2 linked regions of the Nothobranchius furzeri genome follow. The protein of the gene in region 2 binds, or shares a complex with, the protein of the main gene of each other region. Links are inferred from orthologs where the notes say so. Each region holds a gene or a part of one and is shown on either strand. Other genes may lie near its edges. The genes, in order: ubiquitin-conjugating enzyme E2 E1 and setdb1b.

Evidence for each region.
Region 1: the proteins of setdb1b (region 2) and ubiquitin-conjugating enzyme E2 E1 are in contact, whole or in part, in a crystal structure (PDB 8IYA), measured with the Homo sapiens proteins. The link is inferred for Nothobranchius furzeri from reciprocal best matches to the Homo sapiens genes SETDB1 and UBE2E1. Residues at the interface, in NP_001138887.1 of Homo sapiens: Glu868, Gly869, Tyr870, Glu871, Ser872; in NP_003332.1 of Homo sapiens: Asn125, Ser126, Gln127, Val129, Cys131, Leu132, Lys136, Asp163, Pro164, Leu165, Val166, Gly167, Ser168.

Annotation. Positions count from the first base shown.
Region 1 is NC_091745.1:63,675,522-63,679,783, reverse strand, and holds the start of ubiquitin-conjugating enzyme E2 E1, read right to left. Parts: upstream 2,918-4,262; coding exon 2,763-2,917; intron 2,229-2,762; coding exon 2,178-2,228; intron 1-2,177. UniProt on the Homo sapiens protein: Accepts ubiquitin from the E1 complex and catalyzes its covalent attachment to other proteins. Catalyzes the covalent attachment of ISG15 to other proteins. Mediates the selective degradation of short-lived and abnormal proteins.
Region 2 is NC_091745.1:76,230,730-76,234,550, reverse strand, and holds part of setdb1b (histone-lysine N-methyltransferase SETDB1-B), read right to left. Parts: intron 1,776-3,821; coding exon 1,665-1,775; intron 265-1,664; coding exon 1-264. UniProt on the Homo sapiens protein: Histone methyltransferase that specifically trimethylates 'Lys-9' of histone H3. H3 'Lys-9' trimethylation represents a specific tag for epigenetic transcriptional repression by recruiting HP1 (CBX1, CBX3 and/or CBX5) proteins to methylated histones.

The sequences.
Region 1 (4,262 bases), about 13 Mb from region 2:
ATTAGTAATAATGAAACTGCTATACAAGTCAAATAATTGGGAAATAATCAATAATTTAATCTAATCAAATTAACAAATTAATCATTAGATTAAATCGATGCATCGAAAAAATAATCGCTAGATTAATCGATTACAAAAATAATCGTTTTTCCCAGCCCTACGCATGACATTCTGTCTCAATCTGTCCCCCGATGATATTCTGCATTCCGTATTCTGCGCTTCAGGCTCTCTGTGTGTGTGTGTGTGTGTGGGGGGGGGGGGGGGGTTCTTGTTCTGTGTGAAAATGAAGCGGTACAAGTGATAATGCTGCAGGATTTCATAATTTTAACCCTTCTCAGCAGCAGCACTGCAGGTGCTCTCCATGTCCAAAATGTGCGTAAGCCAGGTCCTTAGTCAACTTAAAGTTGCGCACATTTTCCCGCTACGTTCTCTTTCATAAATCCCAAAGTTTGCATTGAAAGTTGCTTACACAGTTTTCCAACCCAGTTTTGTGCGTAAGCAAGCTTGATAAATGAGGCCCCAGGGCATTTGTGTGTGTGTTTTGGCCATTCTTAAATGCAAAAAACACAATATAAACACCATCTTGGACCGGATAACACGGAACAGTGCTACGCCCTCTATTGTCCTGGTGGGGAATTGCTTTGTAACACTCCCCAGGAGACGGAGAAGTATGGGGGCAAAACGTCTCCATTCGTGCGTCTCTCTCCCTGGTGGAGCTGACGGAGAAGTATAAATTTGGTTTCAGTACCAGGAAGGAAGCTTTTTTTTTTAAATAAGTTCAACTTTCAGTTACAGCTGTAAATACAGATCTTCAGATGAAAACGCATTTGTTTTAATATTTTAGTTCCTCTTGGAAGAACAGCTGCTTATTTAAACTGAATGTTTTGGTATTTGACATTTCCATTCAGGAAAAAGAAACTATTTGTAACTCAAACTGAGACAACACATAATTTTGTTTATTGCAACGAAGCTTCATGGTAATAGATCTGATAACAGTGGGAAGCCTGATTAGTTACCTTTACTGTAGGTGGTGCCATCTAAACCTGCTTTATTCTGCTGTTGGAATTCAGTTCTTCACTGGATTCAACTCTCCCACGGTACTCAGGAAAAAGCAACACAGAAGGCCCATTTCATTTTTTTGGAACATCTGGGTCATTTTGCTGGACCTTCGTTACGTTCACCAGGCCGACTCAATAGGGCCACTTTTGAGAGCTTTTCAGGAACCAACCTAGAACCTGAATTGGAGCAAGTACGAGGAAAAGGCCCGGTAGTGCCGCTGGACGGGACTTGTTGTTACGTTCTGCTGATTGGTTGGAGAAACAGCTGATAGGACAGAGCTATAGAATTTTCCCTCTCCCAGAAGTGTCCCTGAACTCCTGTAGTGAAAACACGGTAATACTGGCCCCTGTGAGGGACAATCAGTAGGACGTGGAATATCCCAACACAGCCTCACCAGCTTGGCCCCGCCTCCTCATTCTAGACACATGTTCTTGTGAAACCAGGAGTCAACCAGTGTTGTTGTGTTAGGCTCAATACCAATACTCACACTTCCACCCTTGTGCCCTTCAATTGCGCATTCCTGTCCAGGGGCACAAGGTGTACCAATCCTCAAGTGCGGAAATTGACCACACCCCTTTTGCACACTTGATGCGGACTTGGGCAAAGGGTATTACCCACAACCCATTGCTGTGAAGGCATTTTGAAAAGACTGAACAATGGCTCAAGTGCCTTATTTGAAAATATGTATTTTCAAACAAAAGAAGTTCATTTTAAGACGACTAATGATATTTATATGAATAAATATCATTACTGAATGTTTAAGATTAAAATTTAATGTGAACAGCAATGAATGTAAATTGTGTCAACTGTTTAAAAATTGTTAATAAAGCTTTTTTAAAAAGTAGCACAAACAGCAACCGGCATCCCTGCATGCACAGTGGTCGATGATGCAACGGCCACTGTCCCAATTCAGCACACAGAGCCTTACTGCACACTTCCTCTAAGCGCACTTCACAGAAGACACAGGGTGCAGTGTGGGTATTGGAACTGTGAACTGACCTATAATAATGATTTTACCTGTTTCAACATTTAGGAAGTTTGGATCAGCCAATATCAGGACAAAACTCTGATCTGTCGTGCTGGTGAGTACATAAAGAACCATAAAACCGTAAACTCACCTGCAGTTTGGCGGAGGGTCCAGGGTAATTTCAGCCAGCTCTTTTTGAATTCTGCAAATGTTACAAAAATCAATTACTGATGGAAGGATCAGAGGTGGAATTACTCAGAATCAAACAAAGTGATTAAAAATAAATATGATCTAGTTAACATGGCATCAGAAAACTAACTTACACACCTTAATGCTGTTTGACTGTTTTTGTAGAAAAGAATGTTGAATGAGACTGAAACTGTGAAGATTTTTTTTTTTTTTTTTTTTACTGAAGAAGAAACTGGTACTTCCTTAAAAACATGGTTTACAACACTACTCTGGCTTATAGAAGCAACCGCCTAAGCACAAATTAAACTAGTTCCTCTTTGACCATCAATGTGTTTTTTTCACTGTTAAATAAATACACAAGGGGAAGTCATGAAAACAAATTCTACTGTCGTTTACTCATGTTTCTGAGCTTATCCTGCCATCAGCAGCTACTAAAAGTTACATATTTATATGTAAACAACATTGTTGTCTTAAGGGGTTTTAAACAGACATGAATCTAATGAGCAACAATAATCTGCCCATTGCTGTATGACAGATTTCTTTTAACCTTTTGGCGCTGGTGGAAAGCAGCTTGGAGGTCTTGCTCATGCTGGTTTTGTTCTCCCGTTTCTTCTTGAAAGCTGTATCCTTGTGTCTGTTTTGGCTGGAGGAAGGTGGTGATGAGGATGAGCTGGTGCTGGCACGGGAATCCTCATCCGACATACCGGTTAGGATTGGAGAAGAGCCGCAACCTGAGGAGAAATGGGAGGAAATCTGAAAAGTGAAAGTAACCCAAAAATGTGGAGCACTTGTGAATAAAGGTAGGTAATAGTATTTTCCTTTTGGGAGGTTTATGTTTCTGAACACATTTTCAAATGTGTAGTGTTGACAAAAACAAAACATCTGGTTTTTATCAGGATTAACAAAACAAGCTGGAATAAAAATGAACAAACCAAGTGCTTAATAATGGGGAAAACAGTCTTATTTTTTAAAAGGTTTTTGTGGAAATTATTTATTTGAAAATGTTAATTTTCTAAACATTTATGCACCACCTTTCCTTGATATAGCCTAGCAGCAATATATATATATATATATATATATATATATATATATATATATATATATATATATATATATATATATATATATATATATATATATATATATAAGTCTGAATAAAATTAGAAAAAATTAAGATATTGAAAACATTTACATCCGAAAGAATAAATTAAATCCAGGATGTGATCATGTGCAAACCATGGTGCAAACACAAAACATTACACATCAGTTAGCTAGCTTGTTTGTTTTGATCTCATGTTGCAGACATGAGATAGGATTCTCGCGAGATTTCACAGCGATTCGCCTTCTGTTTTTTTTTTCGTTAGGTAACGCTTTCCGCTACGGTTAACAGTCTTTAGCCTTAGCTAGCTCGTGGTTAACATTAAATATGGTAATTTTGTATCGTAAGCTATAAATTAAAACGTGTCTGATGGTATATACACGCCATATGTTTCTTCAAATCACCTTTCTTCGTGAGCACTATCAGTAATCCAGCATTAGTCCTCCCCGCTTCATAAAAAACTTAACTGGTAACGAAGACTCGGGCCTCAAGTCTTTGTGGATAAAACAATAATAACGTGAAATTAGACGACGGCTGTGTTGTCAGCTCTCGTTGTGAACCGCTGCCTTTGGCATTAAGACACATATAAATGTAACAATTAAAGGTTTGAAGCAAGAATGAGAAAAAGAGGACCGCTCCAGCACATAGACGCAGCCCTTCCCCCCGTGCTGCTGCTGACTCGACCTCGAGCGTTTTGTTTTTCTTTTTCTCGTTTCTGTCGCCGCGCATCAACATCAGCTGGGAACGCAAACATGTTGGGAATCAGCGCAGATTTTCACAATGCCGAACTAAACGCTTGAACGGAACCATTCATCTCGCTCGTGAAACTTACCCACTCTTTGTGTCTGGACCTCCGCCACCGTCAGGCTGCCTGCTGCCTGTCGTCCTCTGCGGAACGGAAGTAGCCTTCCGCGGCTGCGGGAGGCTGAACAGCTCCGGTCCTGCTGG
Region 2 (3,821 bases):
TAGAGCAGGGGTGTGAGGAGGGGGTTTTTCCCTCGATGCTTGTCCGGTTTCACCGGCCGGATTCGTTTCAGACAAGCGGGCTGACACACGTGAGGCATGTAGAAGATGCGGTCAGTCGGGGCTCGGTAGGCGGGCTGTGTAGGAATTACGGCCATGGCGTGGGTCACAGGTGGAGGGGGAGGAGCCACAGAGGGCTGTCTCTGGTAGGAAACGGTGACAGAGGGTTGGGACGTAGAGGCATTCGGAATAGCCATCACTTTTCCGCTGTGGATTTACAAAAAGACAAATATAAAAAGGTAATCACATAACTTAAATCATACAGCAACCATCCCAAGATCATAATCTGAACGGATTTGATCAGTTTTCTTTGTTTAAAGTTGTTGGTTTTCAATAAAGTTAGAAATAAACACGATTTAATCACAGAAATTACAAGAAATTAGCAAAACAATCCATAAAGTTTATTCTGTGTTAATTTCCTGATTATTTGCGTTTAAAAATCCCTCATTTAGATTTTTAGATTACAGATACCTGTTTCCGCCACCAGGTGGCAGTAAGGTACAACACTGAATAGAGGTTGGTGTGTTAAAAAGGGAATTCTCATAGGTTATTGTAAGTAAATTACAGAGCAGGTCACCCCCTACCAGAGTATTACTCCACTCCCACTTCCTGTTTGAAAAATGCAACAAATGCTGTTGCTAGCAGAGCGAGAGGGCGGAGCCACTAACAAATACACACACACACAGGCTCACAATGACACTGTGACATCATATGGTACCAGCTAACGTTCCAGGGTGCCTCTTAGCCAATAGCGATGGCAGATTGAGGCCCTGTCCACACGTAGCCGGGGATCTGCCAAAACGTAGATATTATTCTACGTTTTGGTCTGTCATCCACACGAAAACGGAGTTTTTTCACACGAAAACGGATCTTTTTAAAAACTCCGGCCAAAGTGAAGATCTGCGTTTTCTCCGTTTTGGGTGTCTGCGTGTGGACAGACAAAACCGGAGTTTTAAGGTAAGCAACGCCACTTTCCGCAACAAAAAAATGCTGACATCACGTGTGCGACCTGTGTTTACACTAGCCGACAGCATGGACGCCCTCAGAGCTGCGCTCGCTTTATCAGTTGTCCAAGCGCTTTTTGCTTGTTTGTTTTTGCAAGAGGAATTACTGCTCCTTGCGGAAGACCACAGACGAAGGACGAGGTTAAGAACGGGGGAAGTACTGCCGCCTACAGGTCTGGCATGTCCTTAACAACGTATTTATCCGGGTACGTGTGGACAGAGTTTTTTTTTAAAACGAGGTGGTGTGGATGCAAGTTTTTGGAGGGGCGGATATTCGTTTAAAAAAAACGGCTACGTATGGACTAGACCTAAAATTCAAGTGCAGAGTTTTTACCTGACAACGGCACAACACTGACAGTTTTAGGCAAAAAAAAAAAATTTTTTAACTAAAATGCACTAAAGTGCAAAACTGTTGACTACACGTGTCTGCAGCACGATTAGACACGTATTTATATAGTTTATCAGAAAAAATAAGTTGATTTGGTGGCAACTTGCTCTTTAATTTTGGATCATTAGAGTATATACAGTAAGAGTATATAAAAACATAAACAAATACATAAAAATAAACATCATTAAAGTAATTTAATCGTGAGGTGAACCTACCTGAGGTTGCTGGAAGTGGGGGACAAAGTCTGCAAGATTTTGGAGGCATGTGTTCCTCCAACCCCAGGGATAAATGGAGATGTGCTCTTCTTTGCCATCTGATGCTTATTCCTTGAATATAAAAACACGACAAATCATATAAAACTAGAAAATCAGCTGTTGATAAGCGTGTGCTAGCATCGTTTGCTCTACTGGTGTCCACGGATCGATGGCTTTAGTAGAATCTCAATGTTTTTATTTCTAAAAGCCTGTTGGAACTGAACTGCTGTTATTCAGTTGCCATGGTGATGTAGCCTTGGAGCAAGTGAACCAGTTTAATTAAATCAAGTTCAAATAGACCTTTCTTTTATCACAGTTTTCATTATTTTCCTTTTTACTGAAAAAACGTGATGTATTCAGTTGCTAACTGAGTCAACAGAGAACGCTAATGATGCTAAAACTAATGACACGCTAACATCCTTAGCTCAACTTCCCAAATGCAGCGCAGTTTGTCTCGTCCTCCATTTGAGGTGCAGGACCTGAGACGTTAAATAACAGCTGACTGAAACTGCGTACATCAGAACCAAAAGCTTTTCTTCTTTAAGTTTGTGAATAATATTAATACCATTGACATATATACTGGACAATTCGTGTCCATAGGCTCCAATAATAAGTTTTTGCGCCAAAATGGGAGGTGGCCACCACCACCGTTTTGACCGTGTCACAGGTTCCGTCAAGCCCAGACAATTCCACAAAAGGCAAGAGAGGTGGAGCTGAGGGTGTGGCTTTAAGGCTGGGATCAACTGACGACACCCGGTCGAACTGAAGCGATGTAGCTACAAGCTAACCCAAAGCTAAATGCGGTGGTGGGAGCTAAGCTAATGGAGGTAGCTACCTAGCTACAACCGGAGTTAACTGTGCACAACACCGGAGCTTCTGAGTCAGAGATACGCCGGGCTGACCGCTGGGGAGCAGGGGCGGCGTTAGGCCCGGCTACTTGGGCTCAAGCCCCAGATCTAAAACGTGGAAGTAACATGCAGTACCAAAGTCCAACAGAGAGGGAGCAGCTGGCAGTAGTTTGTATACAGCCTGCCTGAGCCTCCACCACTGAAGAAGAAGCCCTTCAGCAGCCGGCTTCTTCTACACTCTCTGCCTGAAACGCATGAGTGAAGATGGACATAAGGAGGTTTTTTAGACCAAAAGTACCGCGACAGAACCCCAGCTTTGATGAGACTGGTGTTGACTCAGGTTTGTGAGTCTTATTTGAAAATATTTGTGAATTGTAATATATATGATGTTGACTAGTGCGTGTCACGTGTGTGTGTGTGTGCGTGCGTGTTAAGCCCTGGATCTTCTTCAGTCCTAAATCCGCCCCTGCTGGGGAGAACCGGGTGGAGCACAGAGGTTTCCCGAGAGCTCCACAAGCCGACAGCCGCGCAGCAGACAAGCGCCGCTGCGATCAGAGATGCGCCAAGCTGACCGCTGAGGGGAGGGGACCCTACCGATAGTCGGAACCTAGCTCCACCAACATGTTATATTTCAACCCATTTTCTAAAGTGCAGCATTATGTTAAATGCACTGGGTTTTACCCTATTACATTTAAAATTCATGGTTAAACAGTACGTGTTAAAATCTAAGCTCAGCTCGGCAGTGACCTAAAATACATAAATATAATTTTACTTACCAAAAAAAATTAAGTGGAGACTCCTTGGACGCTCCGTTAGTGCAATTAATGCCACAGCAAGTCATTTTGTCCAACAATTGTACAAATAATATCCAAAAAGAACGCACACACGCTACAACTAATGGTCTAAGTTGAGAGACTGAAAATGACCGAACAGTTTTCAGGCGAGGCCGAGGCTCTACTGAGACCTTTCCCCGGAGCTAGCTCTGTGGCCACAGAATTTTAGGCTTTTAATACACTTAAACAGAGGAGTGACAAAAAAATTCACCCCCCTCAGAGTTGTCATGAGTGTAAACTAGATCATTTAAACAAAAAACATGTTTTGGTACCAGGCTGTAAACATGTTTATTTCTGCTGTGAAATTGGTATTTTTAACATGGGAGTCAAAGAGGATTTGCTCGCTTCTGACACCAGCCCCTAGTGGATGAGGGTGGAAGTGCAATTTTTGTCACCTCCGTGTTGGCTTCATATCCAAACCCAAATTATGGGGGCTT